Kluyveromyces lactis: one gene and its partners. The protein of the gene in region 2 interacts with the protein of the main gene of each other region in a pairwise test. Links are inferred from orthologs where the notes say so. Each region holds a gene or a part of one and is shown on either strand. Other genes may lie near its edges. The genes, in order: ATG17, MAD1, HDA2 and MAD2.

Evidence for each region.
Region 1: the proteins of MAD1 (region 2) and ATG17 interact in a two-hybrid assay, tested with the Saccharomyces cerevisiae proteins (2 studies listed by BioGRID). The link is inferred for Kluyveromyces lactis from reciprocal best matches to the Saccharomyces cerevisiae genes MAD1 and ATG17.
Region 3: the proteins of MAD1 (region 2) and HDA2 interact in a two-hybrid assay, tested with the Saccharomyces cerevisiae proteins (2 studies listed by BioGRID). The link is inferred for Kluyveromyces lactis from reciprocal best matches to the Saccharomyces cerevisiae genes MAD1 and HDA2.
Region 4: the proteins of MAD1 (region 2) and MAD2 interact in binary tests that used the Saccharomyces cerevisiae proteins (3 or more experiments, as listed by UniProt). The link is inferred for Kluyveromyces lactis from reciprocal best matches to the Saccharomyces cerevisiae genes MAD1 and MAD2.

The regions. Positions count from the first base shown.
Region 1 is NC_006040.1:231,602-235,493, forward strand, and holds ATG17 (protein kinase regulatory subunit ATG17), read left to right. Parts: upstream 1-1,779; coding exon 1,780-3,051; downstream 3,052-3,892. Other genes in the region: mRNA splicing protein SPP382, read right to left, coding at 1-1,565; threonine--tRNA ligase MST1, read right to left, coding at 3,160-3,892. UniProt on the Saccharomyces cerevisiae protein: Autophagy-specific protein that functions with ATG13, ATG29, and CIS1/ATG31 in response to autophagy-inducing signals as a scaffold to recruit other ATG proteins to organize pre-autophagosomal structure (PAS) formation.
Region 2 is NC_006041.1:1,701,733-1,706,270, reverse strand, and holds MAD1 (coiled-coil domain-containing protein MAD1), read right to left. Parts: upstream 2,806-4,538; coding exon 859-2,805; downstream 1-858. Other genes in the region: LCL3 (Lcl3p), read right to left, coding at 1-642; E2 ubiquitin-conjugating protein MMS2, read left to right, coding at 3,035-3,045, 3,146-3,554; POS5 (NADH kinase), read left to right, coding at 4,297-4,538. UniProt on the Saccharomyces cerevisiae protein: Central component of the spindle assembly checkpoint. Thought to recruit MAD2 to unattached kinetochores. During checkpoint activity, MAD2 is relayed from the MAD1-MAD2 complex to the mitotic checkpoint complex (MCC).
Region 3 is NC_006039.1:895,864-900,103, reverse strand, and holds HDA2 (Hda2p), read right to left. Parts: upstream 2,749-4,240; coding exon 844-2,748; downstream 1-843. Other genes in the region: sphinganine-1-phosphate aldolase DPL1, read right to left, coding at 1-320; GTPase-activating protein NEL1, read right to left, coding at 3,094-4,240. UniProt on the Saccharomyces cerevisiae protein: Required for activity of HDA1 histone deacetylase complex. The HDA1 histone deacetylase complex is responsible for the deacetylation of lysine residues on the N-terminal part of the core histones (H2A, H2B, H3 and H4).
Region 4 is NC_006040.1:797,733-800,627, forward strand, and holds MAD2 (spindle checkpoint protein MAD2), read right to left. Parts: upstream 1,313-2,895; coding exon 722-1,312; downstream 1-721. Other genes in the region: KLLA0_D09416g (uncharacterized protein), read left to right, coding at 11-604; Rab geranylgeranyltransferase BET4, read left to right, coding at 1,501-1,503, 1,593-2,573; CTK2 (Ctk2p), read right to left, coding at 2,606-2,895. UniProt on the Saccharomyces cerevisiae protein: Central component of the spindle assembly checkpoint which is a feedback control that prevents cells with incompletely assembled spindles from leaving mitosis. Thought to be recruited to unattached kinetochores by MAD1.

The DNA of each region.
Region 1 (3,892 bases), on a different chromosome or scaffold from region 2:
TTAATCATGTATTTTAGCCATGAAGAAGCTTCATAACGGAAGGTGCTGCTCTTAAACACAAACCATTGGAATAAGGTCTTTAATAGCGAGTTGTTAATGACCTTATATACTTTATTCCTGGTTGGCAAATCGAAGAAATCATTATATTCTTTCAACACATCAATAATAGCTGAAATGTAAATTTCATTCTCTGCATCGGTAAATTCGTCAATCAGGTGAAAGTGTGAATCGAAGTAATCAGCGAAAGATGAAAGCCAATACCTGTTGACTAATTCATAAAACTTGGAGTCACCCACTGCCTCCTTCAAGAGAATAACGTTTTGAGGGTTAACAGTCATTGAAGGTTCCCAATTTTTCAAAAACTGCTCGAACTCCAGCAGGATAAGTGCTTTTAATGACTTTAAATCCCTTTCTCCCAAAATGAGATGCAACTCGCCGTATGTCACCATGAATTCATCTGACAGAAATTGAGGAGAAAGTTGTATTTCGAGAGCCGGCATAATGTAGCGGGAAAGGAAGTGTTCCCTGCAGCTAATAAAGTCAATAATAGGTAAATACTGAACGGTTATTTGACGTAGCATCCTCGAATATCCGGTATTTGAATCTAACCAATAACATAAGGGTTGATACACCAACCTATAAATGCTGCTTTGTGTTTCGTTCAAAATATATCCAGATTCCATTCTATATGAAAGAAACCTTATTGCTGCCCTCAAATGGTTCAACTTTTCGACCTGCATATCTGCCGTATTAATTCCACGATTAAGCTCTTTGAGCAAGAACATGGTACAGAGCTTATCAAGTATGTCATCGTCATTTATTTCTAGGCATTCAGTAATCTGATCTTCAAGACTTGGTTGCGAAAGTTGTTTTTCCTTGACTTTTTCTAAAACACTTTGTAGCCTTTCCTCTTGGTGTACTTTGCGCTCGTCATCTAGTTGAGCTTTTTCCAAGCCAACTTGTATTCTATCTATGTCCGAATGAAGCTGCAGAAGCTTATTAGCAATTTCATTCAAAGAGGAAATCTCTTCTTCATGTAATTCAGAACCATTGATTGTTCTTGTCACCGTATCAGGTAGTTCTATTTTTAATTCCGCAAGGAGACTTATATTTTGAATCAATTTCTCAAGCTGGGTGGCACGACGAGTCTTAAACTCCACTGTTTTCTTTTTATTTGAACTTTCATCTGATGATGCTGAAGTATTACTATAGTTGGAGTCATCTCTATCATGTACTGCACTTAACATCCCTAATCCGACACCTTTAGGACGAGTGACTGTTTCGATTGGGTTCACTATACCTTTCCCATCTCGTCCTAAACCTTCACCTTGTTTGTAACCCATTTTTGATAAAAGCTTGGCACCCATACCATAGGTCTTTAACATCTGGTCGCTTTTCAATCCATCATTGGAGTTGGCTTGTCGTACCGGTTCATAGTCTTCTTCTTCTTTTTGTTCTTCATTGTCATCGCTATATCCATATGGATCGGTAAATACCATACTATTCATTGTCATACTGATCTTTCTTCTTTTGAACTGATCATCGTCACTGATATGTTCTGACATCTATACTGAATCACTGGAGTAGTAATAGCTGACTTGGAGTGACTGATACTCCTTTCAATCTTTACTCCGATTAATAGGTATTTATTCATACTTTGAAAAGATTTAAAGGTTTGAAGTTCAGTCTTCGAAGTGAAATTGACCGTTTAAGGGTTTCAAATTGGAAACGTTGAAGAGATGAAGATCTTTCGGTTGATCTGAACTGCGTCTACAAGAAATGAGTGATGCTGCAACTACTATACCCAGTGATGAGATAGATAAATTGTGGAATAAGGCGAGAAACCAGCTTGTGGAAGCTCAAGTCGAATGTGAAGAATCATTAAAAATCCTCTCTAAAGTGCGAACTGAAATGGACAGCTCTCAAAAGTCCAGATTTAAACTTAAATTTATACTTAATTGTTTGGTGAACCAGGTTGAGTTCTTCAAGAATATCATGCTCGAGAAATGTATTTCTACAGAGTTGATTGACAATGAATGGTCAAAGCTGGTTTTAGTCGAGATAGTCAATGACGTGAGTTATTGGCAAAACGAGATAACAACAAAGATGAAGATCTTGCAGGGTACAAAATACGACTTGACTGACGATCACAGTAGCCTTTCAGATTTCATATGCATGGATCACGTAGACATACTACAACAAAAAATCGATGAGATTCCTATTATAAAACAACAAGTGACAAACATACGACAACACTACAAATCGATAAAAGATCGAATAGAAAACCAACTAGTGGCTGTAAAGTTGAAAAAACTCAGAACTTACTTTGATTCACATTTCAGCAGGGATAGCAAAAATAATCTATTCAAATTGTTGGAAAGTGATTATGTCACTGAATTGAACGAATTTGAGAATGAACTTGCCGATTTCTTGAGATCAATCACTGATCATTTCGACAAATGCACGATATTGAAGGAACAGCAGATTCCACTACCAGATTTGAAGGAACTTTTCCAGATTGTAAAGAAAGACGATACACAGTTAGAAAATATAAGGGAATTAGTATTCGAAACGGGACTTGAAGTGAAAGCTTTCTCAAAGAAAGTCAATGAAACAATAAGTGAAATAATGGACAAAATTGGTGGATTCCATCTGCTGGCTTCCAAGATTGTGACAGAGTTAGAAAAATGTGAGGAATACTTATCTATCTTCCAAAAGATTGCTAATTTAGTATTCGTTTATAAGGAATCTTGCATAAAAAAGATTGAACAAGTGCAACAACTCTGTGAGTTTTACGATAAGTTCAAATTAGGGTATAAAAACCTTCTACGAGAAAGAGACAGACGGAAAGCCACTGCGTTACAAATGGAGAAAATATTAAAGGAATGTCAGGAGAAACTACAGGCACTGAGTGATGCTGACTTGGACCAACGCCAGCAATTTTTACTTGAAAATGGTGACTATCTTCCCGAAAACATCTGGCCAGGTTATATCGACGATATGGAATCGATGTATAGTTTCGAATATAGCATACATAATGTACCGAATTGACGGTATTGTGTTATTATTGATACATAAGTATACATATTTACAGGTATAAATTATCTTTTACATCGTTATGGTTAACATTACTTTCTGTGGTTCAAAAATTGCAAGGTATCATTTATAATTTTTCTCAAGATCGACGAACCTTTCAAAGACATCATCGATAGTTAGTAAATCCACTTTCTTCGACTCCCTGGTTCTAATCGCCACCTTGCCTGCTTCAACTTCTTTGTCACCAATCATTATAATATAAGAATAATGCTTCTTGATGGCTTCTCTAATTCTTTTACTTACAGATTCATCTCTTGCATCCATATCAACAGAGAAATGGAAGCTGTTGAGTGGAATTGGGCTTTTTGGATCACTATTTTCACCACGTAATGAGTTGACTGTCTTGAAAGCCAATTCCATTATCTTCTCATCTTCAGTCTTCACTGGGATGACCATACATTGGTTTGGATTCAACCAAAACGGCCATTTACCTTTGCTTGAATCAATTAAAATGGCCATGAATCTTTCCACCGAACCGAAAACAGCCCTATGAATCATGATAGGTCTCTTGTAACTATTATCCTTGTCCTTGAATTGTAAATCGAATCTTTCTGGCAATTGAAAATCTAATTGAATAGTGGCGACTTGATGTGATTTGCCTGTATGATCATTGACTAAAATGTCAATCTTAGGACCGTAGAAGGCACCATCTCCTTCATTGGTTGTCCATGGTTGCCCCCACGATTGCAAAGTATCCTTTAATACATCTTCAGCATGATCCCATACTTCAATATCGCCAACGTACTTCTCAGGACGAGTAGAGAGGGTCAATGAGTACGCTGCCTGCTTTGAATCA
Region 2 (4,538 bases):
AATACTAATATTCTGCCATCCCTTCAACCAGGACCACAATTCAACCCGTGCAACACATCTGCCGTATTGGTCAACGGCCAATGGCTTAACCCAGACGTACTGTCCCAAAATCTTGTACCTTAGCCAGTTTAGTGCCTCATCACTAAAAGGCTGAGCTGTTTTTCCGAAATGCGATCTTTCTGGAGCATCCACACCACATAAACGAACAGAAATGGTAGGAAGATTTCTTCTGCCCTTATATGGCACATGTAAACTCATGAAATGACTCTTATAGTTAGCTACTTTGGCACTGAATAGTTTGTTCCACCAACGAACTGATTGTGGTACTTCAACAGAAGCGTCGAACGCTACTGTTTGTAACTCAGGAATGGACCTTAACCATCCCCAGCCGCCAAAAATACCGCTTGGAGTATGAAAGAAATGGAAATTATCACCATCTCCCACAGATGTTACTTTACCATATAGCCATTGCTTCTTGAATATCGCTTCCGGTATATCTTTGGCAGATTTATACTGTCTAAGGTGCTTATTGTAAAAAGAAGTAGCAGTTAAAACACCACCAGTCAATAATATAGAAAATAGTAGGACTGTAGGATAGAAATAATGGGTAGCATTATTTGTAACAGTACGCTGTTCAGTCATACCTCAATCATCGGTTGATGAACTGCTGCGGTTCGGTATTGTGATAGGAAGTGATGTCATATAATATCCCCGACAATCCAAGTTTGTATATATGTCTGAATCTTTTTTCGTCAAGTTGATCCATATGTAAATAGAGAGATATTTGCACATACTAGTATATACAATGAATTAAAATATGTTGATTTACACTGAGTCCTGCCTTCTTGTGACGCGCAGCTAAGGCTGAGATAGTTCCCACAGTCTAAGCTTTACTTGGGAGAGAAACGCTGGCAACTCTCCCTTTTCTATAACGTACAATTGAAATAACGTTTCCCATTCAGGAATAACTTTATCTAGATCCGATTTTAACGTATTCGATTGTAAATCGGCAATAATATATTTGTTCGGTTGATAACAGCTTACTAATTTTACTTTACCATGTGCCAAGAATTCTAGTTTAAATCCTAACAGTGAATTAACGGCCTCAATGAACTCTAACGATTTCTTATTGAATACTTCTTTTAGTCTTGTGGTCTTCTTATTTGCAGAGAAAATCTCTTTCTCAAGTAGTTTCATGTCGTGTTTGATACGATCATAAACAGATCTTGGGATGGCATCTGTTTCTATCCCAGATAATAGATCGGAGTTTTCCTTTTCAAGTAATGCCAACTTTTCCTTTCTGATATAATGCTCTTTTAACAATGGATTATCACGAAGTTGTAAAATTCTAACCTTCTTCTCTTTAAGACTAGTCAAGTCCAAAATTTTTTGTTCTAGGATATTCGCATGATTTTTAGTCGCAGAAAGTAATCTCTCCAGTTTTTTGTTCTCCAGTATTAGCTCATTTAATCTTTGAGAATAGCTTATTCCCAAATCATTGGTTATTTTTCTACGTTTTTGAATCTTATCGTCAGTTTTTGATAATTCTTCGTTCAATCTCTTGAGCTCATTGGTTAGATCCTCAGTTTGATTTTTGTACCCTTCGATGATGTTTGAAGCATTTACCTGGTCTCCGGGTGTTTTCTTCTTATCGTCTTGCTCCTCAAATTCCTCTAATTGTTGCCTTAGTAGTTTACACTCTTCAAATGACAAAAGTTTTTGTTGTTCAAGTTCATGATTTAAACGCTTCAAATTCAAAATACTAGTTTCATAGTCTTTGTTCAAATCTAGAAGTTGGTTTCTTTCAATTGCCATCTCATCGTTGAGCATGGACATTTGATTGAAATCAATTTGTAACTTGGAATTCGTATCTAAAAGGAAAGTATTTTCTCGTTGTAACATATTAAGCTCTGTTATAACATCGTTAGGGTTCTTGAATTTACCGTCTAACCTAACAATACCCCATTGTGTAATCTTCTCCTGTAGGCTGATATTCTCCATTTCCAATGATTCGAACTTTTTTTGTAAAGAATTCAATTGATCGAGTTTAGACTGGAGTAATTCATTTTCCTTTTTCAACAACGATTGGACATCGTTATTTTGTCGAAGCTTCTTCAATTCAGTGGCTTGTTTAAGGTTCATATCCTCTAGTTCTTTGGCATAATTGAGCTGCTCCTTCAGAGTCTTGTTCAAGACAGCCAAATCTTGTAATTCTTCCGTAGAATTGTTCCTATGAGACGCAGAAGTTTGAACTGATCGTAGTTCAGATATCAGATTTTCTTTTTCCTTCAGTTCTTGTTGTAAATATCGTATCTCTTCCACATGTTTGTTTATCTGAGTTTCATGTTGATGCAGAATGTTTCCGCTACCTTCAATTTCCAACTTCATCGATTCAATTGCATTCGTAACTTCATTTTGTTTTGAGGAAAGCTTATGAGCTAATTCCACGATACGCTGCTCTTTCAAATTAACTTCGTTTTTCAAACTTACAACCTGTGTTCGAAGTGTCGTTATGATCTTCTCATCCTCCTTCGGTAACGCATCCTTACTTTTCAATTCTTCCTTCAACTTGATGTTTTCCTCATATAGTATCTTGGTATCTTTCAAAGCATTTTCCAGTTCGTTCATACTCTTATCGTATTTGTTCTGAAGCGAATAAGTCTCGCGTTCTGATGACAACTTCGAAATTTCATACTCGTTCTGTAAGGTTGTGTATTTGTACTGAAGCGTTAAAACGCGACGTCTCAACTGATCTGCATCTAGCGATTCAAGGGGCTTTTCCTTTATCTGAGGTGTTAGTGACATATAATACACAATTGAGTTTGACACAATTGCAAGACACTATTGGCATGAAGCATTCTTTAAGTTCCCCTAAGATCACTTAATGGATCAAGATCAAAGTCAAGATTTTCGCTATAAAATTATAAAATCAGAATGAAATGAAGAAACGTTTAAATCATCCCCTTTAAAGATGATCAAGAAAGGGGACGGGGATCAAAAGCTCACACCGCTAACTAACCAGACTGTTCTTACTATGTCTAAAGTGTACGTTCATTCGAATTCTTTTACTTTCATGCGATACCCATGCCTATAACAACCCTTTCAGAATTTTACTAACCGCACTATGGCATACATATTTCACTAGACCAAGAAGTTTCAGACTACTAGAAGAGCTAGAGAAGGGAGAAAAAGGACTGGGTCCAGAATCTTGTTCCTATGGTCTTTCTGACTCCGATGATATCACAATGACAAAGTGGAACGGTACCATACTTGGTCCTCCTCATAGCAACCATGAAAACAGAATATATTCAGTGCTCATCGAATGCGGGCCCTCATATCCAGACGAACCACCTAAGGTGAAATTCGTATCGAAGATCAACCTGCCATGTGTCAATTCTACCACCGGAGAGGTCGTCAAAGAGAAATTCCATACTTTGAAGGAATGGAAAAGATCCTATACCATGGAAACTGTCTTATTGGAGCTACGTAAGGAAATGGCAACACCATCGAACAAAAAATTGTTACAACCACAAGAGGGAACGACGTTTGAGTGAAATTACAGCAGGTACTAAATGTATATATACACATGAGAGTAAATAAGTATAAAGTTGTGTATTTGGCGCAACTGGTTTGGGGGCCCTTTTGGGCTCCCAAAAGTTTTCGTACGCATAATAAGCATATTGTCCAATGTATAATGAAGCAACGCCTGCCGATGTGCCCTCCACTCAAAAGTATCATCTTGCTTAAGAGAAGTCAGGTCCTGTTTTAGATCATGATCCACTCAATTGCACTGTTCTCTAAGTAAATTAGTTCAAACAAGGTTCGAAGAGATTTGCTGGTTTGAATTTCTCATCAAACCACCAGATTTACAACCACCACCAGATCGATAGTAAAGCCGGTTTTTTCGCCCAAGTGCCTGTAAATAGAAAAAGGCCTAGGTCAACCGTTCCGATTCTTACTCTTCTTCGCAGAGTCACACGCACAAAAGGGGTCTACATTTTGGTCCTGCTCCTAACACTCTTCTTTCGACTGTTTCTTTCATCCAGAGAAACTTTCAATTTGGAAGACTTTGCAGTGAACTTTCATATAAATGAATCATAAGAATTCATTATTTCAAATTGTTTCCTAACGAAAAGAGTTTACAAAGGTTTTAGTAGTGGTCCGTAGTAGTGTTTCTACAGACTACAGTTCATTGGATACAGACTGTATTCGGCAATTGCAGAGTAGGAGACAGAAGATTAGGTGATTAGAAGTGATTTCATTTGTTTTTTTTTTGTTTAACGATTAGCAAGAGATATGGTGATACTTCTCAGAGGAAGGTTAAATGTTCCTAGCATTTGGTCACTGGCCCGTCAGCAGCATGTTTCAGGTTTGTTTCAGTGCGCTAGGTTTTATTCTGAGGTAAGACTTCGAGATTCTTCGAAGTTTGTTGCTTTGAAAGATGTAAACGATCTACGGGCAACCAGCTTGCCAGATTTCATATCTTCCCCAAATTCGAAACTACAATCGTTGATATGGCACCGTCCTATGCAAAACGT
Region 3 (4,240 bases), on a different chromosome or scaffold from region 2:
ACAGAACCTCTTACCATTGGTAAGCTCAATAGAACCTCAAATAAACGTCTACTGGCATAATGGAATAATTTAGAAATTGATGTCAGAAGCCCATACCCCCTTATGTACAAAATAATCCGGGACAAAACGTTAAAAAGCAGATGGTAAAAGACGGCGTCTCTGATGATCCAATACCAAGGCGTATTCCGAAAATAATCTAAAACTGCCACCTTGATAGAAGTTGCCAGTATAATAGGATCAAGTTCGAACGTGTTGTATTTGTATGAATATCCTAAAAAAAAGCGCTTCTGCAATCCTTCAATGAAACTCATCTTTCCCATTATCAGAAAACTTGTATCAAAATCAAGTTCAGAGTTTAACAGTAGCCAAGATTAAAGTGTTATTATTTTGTGGGAGTCAGCTCAATACAACGCAATGGTAAGAAAAAAAAAAGAACTGTATACCCTTAGTTTCTGCTTTCAATTTGAGAGCAAGACATAAAATCTACTAAAAGTTCTTATTTTCTACCCTATATGCAAAATACCAGACGAATCAGTAAAGGTCTTTAAAATCCGAAAAGTACGAAAAAAAAAGCTCAAATTCTATGTTCCAGTTTCAACTGAATATGGTTATGCCGATCCGTTACTGCCGCAGTTAGGGTGGTCATGTCGAAATTAGAATGAACAAGTCACTATTGACTCACATAATACAAACTGGTCTATATAGAGGAGTAATTGCGCTAGTGTTACAATTTTGCAAGCAAGCTTGTGTTTACCAGAATCTGACAGGCTTTCAGATATCAGTATATTGCATGCAGTAGTTGAGAGATGGTTTGGTCTGGATGTATCCTAGAAGGAGTAATACTTATGTGTACGTAGGAGAAGTAGCCCTGGTAGTTCTTGTAGTGTACCTTGACGAGTTGTTCGTTGCCGGAGATGATTTTTTTGCAGGTTCGTTTTCAATGTTGTATTGGCCTTGTATTCGGTTCATGTATTGTATTAGGAATTGAGACTGCTGTACCATTTTGCGTAAGGAAGATTTGAGTTGTGCTTCTTTTTCTTGCAATATAATAAGTTCCCACTTGGTGAAAGGTCCATTCAATTGGCGTTCCAACTCCTCTTTCTCAGCTTTCAGAGCTGAAGTCTTTAGCACTTCTGAAGCAGCCTCAGACGATTTTTGTTGGTAGCTAGATCTCAAATCGTCATTCTTAAAGGACTCTTCATCGTTACTCTTCTTGAAGGAAGAAACTTCATCTGATAGCTTGGTATGTTGTTGCTTCTGATTTTCAATTTCTTTTGCAATATCTTCGAGAGTTAAGAGCCTTACAAGCTCGGATTTGCGTTCAACCAAGCTCTTTAGACGTTCTTCTAAAACTTCCAACTCAGATCTTGTTCTTTCAACGCGTTTTTCAGAGTCGTTGATTTTGGTTTCATTTTCTTTGAGTTTTTTGAAATGTTGTCCGATATTCACCTTCAAATCATCAAAGTCATTTAACCTTTTAGTTTCTTTCAATCTGGTCTTGAGGACTAGTTTTTCACGCTCTTCATATTCTACATGGCATTGTTTGAGTCGTTCTGCCGTGAGTGTTTTTAAAATATACTGATAATTTTTAATGTCCATTGGTCCTGATTGTAGCCTTAATTCATATTTTCCGTAAGTTAGAGGCATCAATTCCATTGGGTTAGTTAGAAAAGGAATCAAATCATCATTATTTCTCGAACTTCCTGGATTTACACTTGGGAGAAATTCACCAGGGTCCGTCTCTTTGATCAATGAGTCAATAATATTTTCATATTGTTGTAAAGAAATAAGATCTTTGATATCGGCACGATACTTTAGAAAATGAACAATGGAATCCAAAATTAGCTTTTCGGAAGTAGTAGTTGGCTTCTTTTTGGATAACAAATAGTGATCCGGAGAATCTTGGACCAATAGCTTAAACAGAGGAGTTTTTCTGCCATTTTTCCTGACTTTGAATATCGATGGTAACGATTCGTCCAGCATTGGATCAAAACTGATGATAAGATCCAGATTGTACCTAGAAAGTAAATCTTCAGAGTGTGTCAAATGTGTGGTTGTTGCCAAAAACAACCAGTCAAGTTGAGATATGTTATTCTTACGTCTTGACTTAGAGTAGTTGTATTCATCTTTCGATTTTCCGATTTGCTCAGGAGCTACGCTACCAGAACTTGATGAATTTTCACCATTGGTTGTTCTTGAACCAGAAGTTTGATCGTCATATTCATGTTTTTCGTCAAACAAAGAAGTTCCAGATAACCTCTTCAACTTTGCAACTTTTCCCAACATGACGCCTTCAATCAAATCCAATTCTTTCACAGAATGTGAAATGATAGCAACTTGCAATGGCCTCGATTTGTCCTTACGATTCAATAAAAGATCAACCATTAGATTTAACTTGCCAAATTTATCGCTGGTGTATATCAACCTTTCAGTTGGTTCCATTAACAAAAACTGTCTAGGCATATAATGCTCAACTAACAGGCAAGGGTGATTCGAGACAGCTCTTATATTTTCGAAGAACCATTCAGTTAACTGAACATCTGTTAATGCAGTCATACTCAAGTCTCTTTTGAGATTTGTCCCTTTTTTTTCTAATTTAGATTGTAGTTCTGGCAGTAGACGTTTATCTACACATGAGACAAACGACTCTGCATGTATCGAGATTAAAATTTCCAACAAATCTTTCTGAACTTGAGTTAGGCCAACAGGTATATAAAATACCTGAGTCCGGTTGGAAGTGGAGTTCATCTTTCTTTCCCTAATGAAACGACCCAATGGCTCGCGCTTGCAGTTTCTCTTTCTTTTCCTCTGGACTCTGGCTTTTAATGTGCTATTCGGAAAGAATGGTTAGATTTAATTATATAGTATCTTTTAAAAAATGAAATATGTCATTTTTGAAAAGCGACAGATGGAGAAACCAAGGAATACGTACATAGTATCTTTTCCTGCCATACAATTGTTATTCAAAGGGGGAGCGATAGATTCGAAGGTTGCGACAGTAAATGGGGAACTATTCTAACCTTTTGGTTTTGGTTATATATATATAGAGTTCATGATATCTGTTGAGAGGTAAAATGAATGATTACATACTTTTCATGCAGTACTTTTTGATTTAAACAGTGCCATGTATTTATCAAGCGTGAGGTCATCAGAATGCAAAGAATGTTCTGCAGTTAAGCCTAGTCGTGCAATTACAAATCTATCCTGACTAGCACCTGGCTTGGTTTCTCGATACCAAGGCTTTGGAAATCGACTTCCATCGTGGTATATGGTATCAGCAGCTGCCTTCAAACTGTCAACTCTGCTATCTCCTACTGAAGTATCTCGTACCACAAGGACGTTACCACCATCTACCAATAAAGGTTCGGCATAATTAAGGATGTCAGTTGTATTTTGAATAAGCCCTGTGGTCGAATACACTTGGGGTCTAACCATCTTGAATATATGACTTAAAGGGGAATTCAGAATTGTCCAATGGTAGACGATCCACTCGTCAGGCGATGTATTTCTCTTCCTTAAGAGAGTTGATCTTTGCATAAAGTACGTTACTTCTTGTAAGGATTTAATGCCAGGAACATCGATGGCATTCAATGATTTAAGAAGTTTTACTATTTCTAACGTCCACCACCTTAGATCGTAATCATAAAACTTGCCTTGAAACAAGACAGCGAAAGATATTTTTTTCATTATGGATCCAGCCATTATATCCCAGTGGAAATTTTGGGTTAAAAGATGTTCACCTGGTAAGGTTGTACTGGGAATAAATTTCGTTTCTACAGAAACGTATTCTTGATTCAAGTGTTTATAGTAGCATTCCATTTGAAAGGAAAATTTATCTGGCATTTCTTGCAAGGCTTCAGCAGCGCTGCGAGATGTATCAACAGATAAACTTATCAAAATTGATGGTAGATTACTACTTGGCCCTTTGTAACGGAAGGTTCCAGACCCTCCAAAGCCCTTTGGAGTGTCAGATACATGTGTGTCCTTGTCTTTCAAGGATGAGACTGGACCAAAGATCCCATTCAGTAATAGCTTGTTAGAAGTTTTGATAACAATTCTGGTTATTTCATAACATCCTTTCCCTTGAATATACGCCTGCCAATCATATATGAAATTTCTATCATTGAAGGATTCGTATTGAATAAAGTTGTTCAAACAGGATCTCATCTCCCATATTCCGACCTGATCCATGGATGCGACGAATACCGTGCATGGAGCAAACTTTAAGGACTTACTCATT
Region 4 (2,895 bases), on a different chromosome or scaffold from region 2:
TCCTCATGCAATGATTCCATTCTTCTACATAATGATTTTTTTCACTATAGCTGAAAGCACGCTTACAGATGCTGAGTTTAAGGAAATTGATATGTTTATAGATGTTGTTGGTGAATCACATTTTGCTCTGATGTTTCCTGTGGAATTGATCAGAACCGATTTGAATGATACGTTTGACCCAAAACAAGTTTACGATATTTTTGATGAATTAGCTGAAGAGCGCAAAGAGTTTCAAATAGTAAAAGAACTTGATATACCTGAGTTTGTGGCCGAACCGCTTTATGATAGGCTGACATATCTCTCAGTCAAATTGGATAATGGATACACCGTAAATCTAGCAAATGAAATAGCAATAATTCAGGATATAATCCAAATAGCAGCAGAGTCAGACAACATTAAACTCGATTTTACTGCTCTTCTTAGAGTTAAAGAAGAGTTGAGGGTTGATATGGCAGCCGTGTCAAAATTAAAGTTGTTCAAAACGTGCTTATTGTCCAACCTTTTCCCATTTATGCAGGAAGAATGCGAAGGACTCTTAAGACAAAAGCTAATTGAACATCTCAAGATTTGGATAGAAGTTTGGAAAAGACACCAAGATGATTGAATTAGTATGAGCTTTCTCGAGTTGAATTAAGTATTATGTGCCTTTTCTACTATATCTTGTTCCTATTTGTAGCATAAGTATTAAAAGGAAATGCAATAAGTTCAGCCATTAATTTTGTTAGAACTTATAAGTGACTTCAGCTCCCACTGAATAGGCCGATGTACCGAAAGACTTGAATTGCACAGATTCCCCCTTCGCTATTTCTTTTGAATCAGAATCTGTCCATTCTAGTGGAACATTCGCATTACTATCAGTATAGGCCAAAACATTGAAAGTATAGTTACCTTCATTTTTCAATTCGGGCAAGAAAGTGACACTGGCTGTTATCTGTCTAAGTACTGCCCGAATCTCCTTTTGGGTTTCCTCTAATGGAATGTTCATATCATCATCAGTATCGTTCTTGTTGCTGTGAGAATCTACGTTAAACTTCCATCTTTCAATTGTTTCACCATCATCCTTATCTACTATACACAGAACAAGCTGGTGACATTTACCTCCCAATAACCACCTATGAACCTGCCGGAGAATTTCCCGTATGTATTGTTTAAGTTCTGTATCTTGTGTTTTTAATAAGCTCAAATCATACTTCTTAACTGTAGCGAAGTCTTCTGCCGGGTATACTGCTCGTTGATATAATATTGAATTTATACTATATTCAAAGAACTCAGTAACAATTCGTGTCGAACCTTTTAATGATATCAAATCCATGTTTCCAATTTTACTTTCCAGTCTCTTCTGAATCCTTGTTCGTCGAAGCAAGTTCAAAAAACATATGTTATTGAGCTCATTTTAAACTACTATTTTTTATAATTAACATTCAAACTTATAAGTTATGATTATGATGAACAGCAAATCAGAACGTTAAACTCAATTCCACAGAGACTCGAGGACAAATAATGGTATGGCAGACCTCGGCACTCTTTTCAAAGAAGATTCTCATAATATACAATTGCAGATTACTAACATTTACAAATTGAAATGAATTCAGCATGGTGTTACACGAAGAGAGTGGACAAAGGAGTTATTAAGGAAGAAGCGCGAGAAGGAGAGACAGGAAATCCTCGATTATCGAGAATTATCAGATGAGGTTTTAGAATTGAAGAATAAAAGAGTAGCAAACAAGGACTCTCTTCTGAAGACTACCCAGTTACTTAATATCAATCCAGAATTCAACACCATCTGGAATTATAGACGTGAAATTATAAAACTACTTGCCCCATCACTGGATCAAACTTTCTGGGATGGGGAACTTGCTTTCACTATGGACAAATTGAAGGTTCGTCCAAAAGTATACTGGATATGGAATCACAGGGTTTGGTGTTTAGAGCATTATCCTAATTCTCCCTTGAAAATCTGGTTGAAAGAATTAGCCATTGTTGGCAAATTACTGGAAATGGATGCGAGAAATTTCCATGGATGGCATTACAGAAGATACATCGTAAGCACAGTAGAACGCTTAAGCGGAAACTGTCTAAATTCACAAGAGTTTGAATACACAACCGCGAAAATAAATCAAAATATCTCTAACTTTAGCGCGTGGTTCCAACGAACGAATATAATTGAACATATGCTGGCGAGAGATCAAATAGCTGACAAAGAGTCCTTCATCGACGATGAATTTCAGTACATAAAGAATGCCATGTTCACTGATGCTGAAGATCAATCTGTCTGGACGTATCTGATCTGGTTTATTAAAGAGAGTGCACTAAAAGAGCATATGACGTCAGAAAAGTATAGCAGTATGCTAAAAGAACTAACCGAGATCATTGAACTTATAAACGATGATGATATTAGTTTCTCTGGAAAGGATAATATTTGGTGTCTAAAGACACTACTTGTGATTGAGTTCATTCAAAAAGATATCCTCAAGGAAGATATAAAATCAAAATCTAGAGAATATCTTGATAAGTTGATAATTATCGATCCCTTGAGGAAAAATAGGTATTTATACCAAATAAGAGCTCTATGAAATGATTGTATTATTACATGAATATGAAGATCTCATTCAACCTCACTGATAGATCTTTTTTTGGTAGATATCGATTCTTCTTGAAGAGAGTTCTGGTTCAAAACATATCTTCTTTCTTTCACAGCAAAGTTCCGTTCCTTTGACACGTAATCGTCTTTATCTAATGCTATTGGATCAACCTTTAGTCCCTGCTCAGGGCCAGCGGTCTTTTTTATTTCAATGAATGTTTCAATCTTTAGGTTTAAAGATTTGACAGTTTCATGGTCTTTTAAATCACATGCATCGAAGACATTGATATAAAAATTTAGAATATCGAAATACG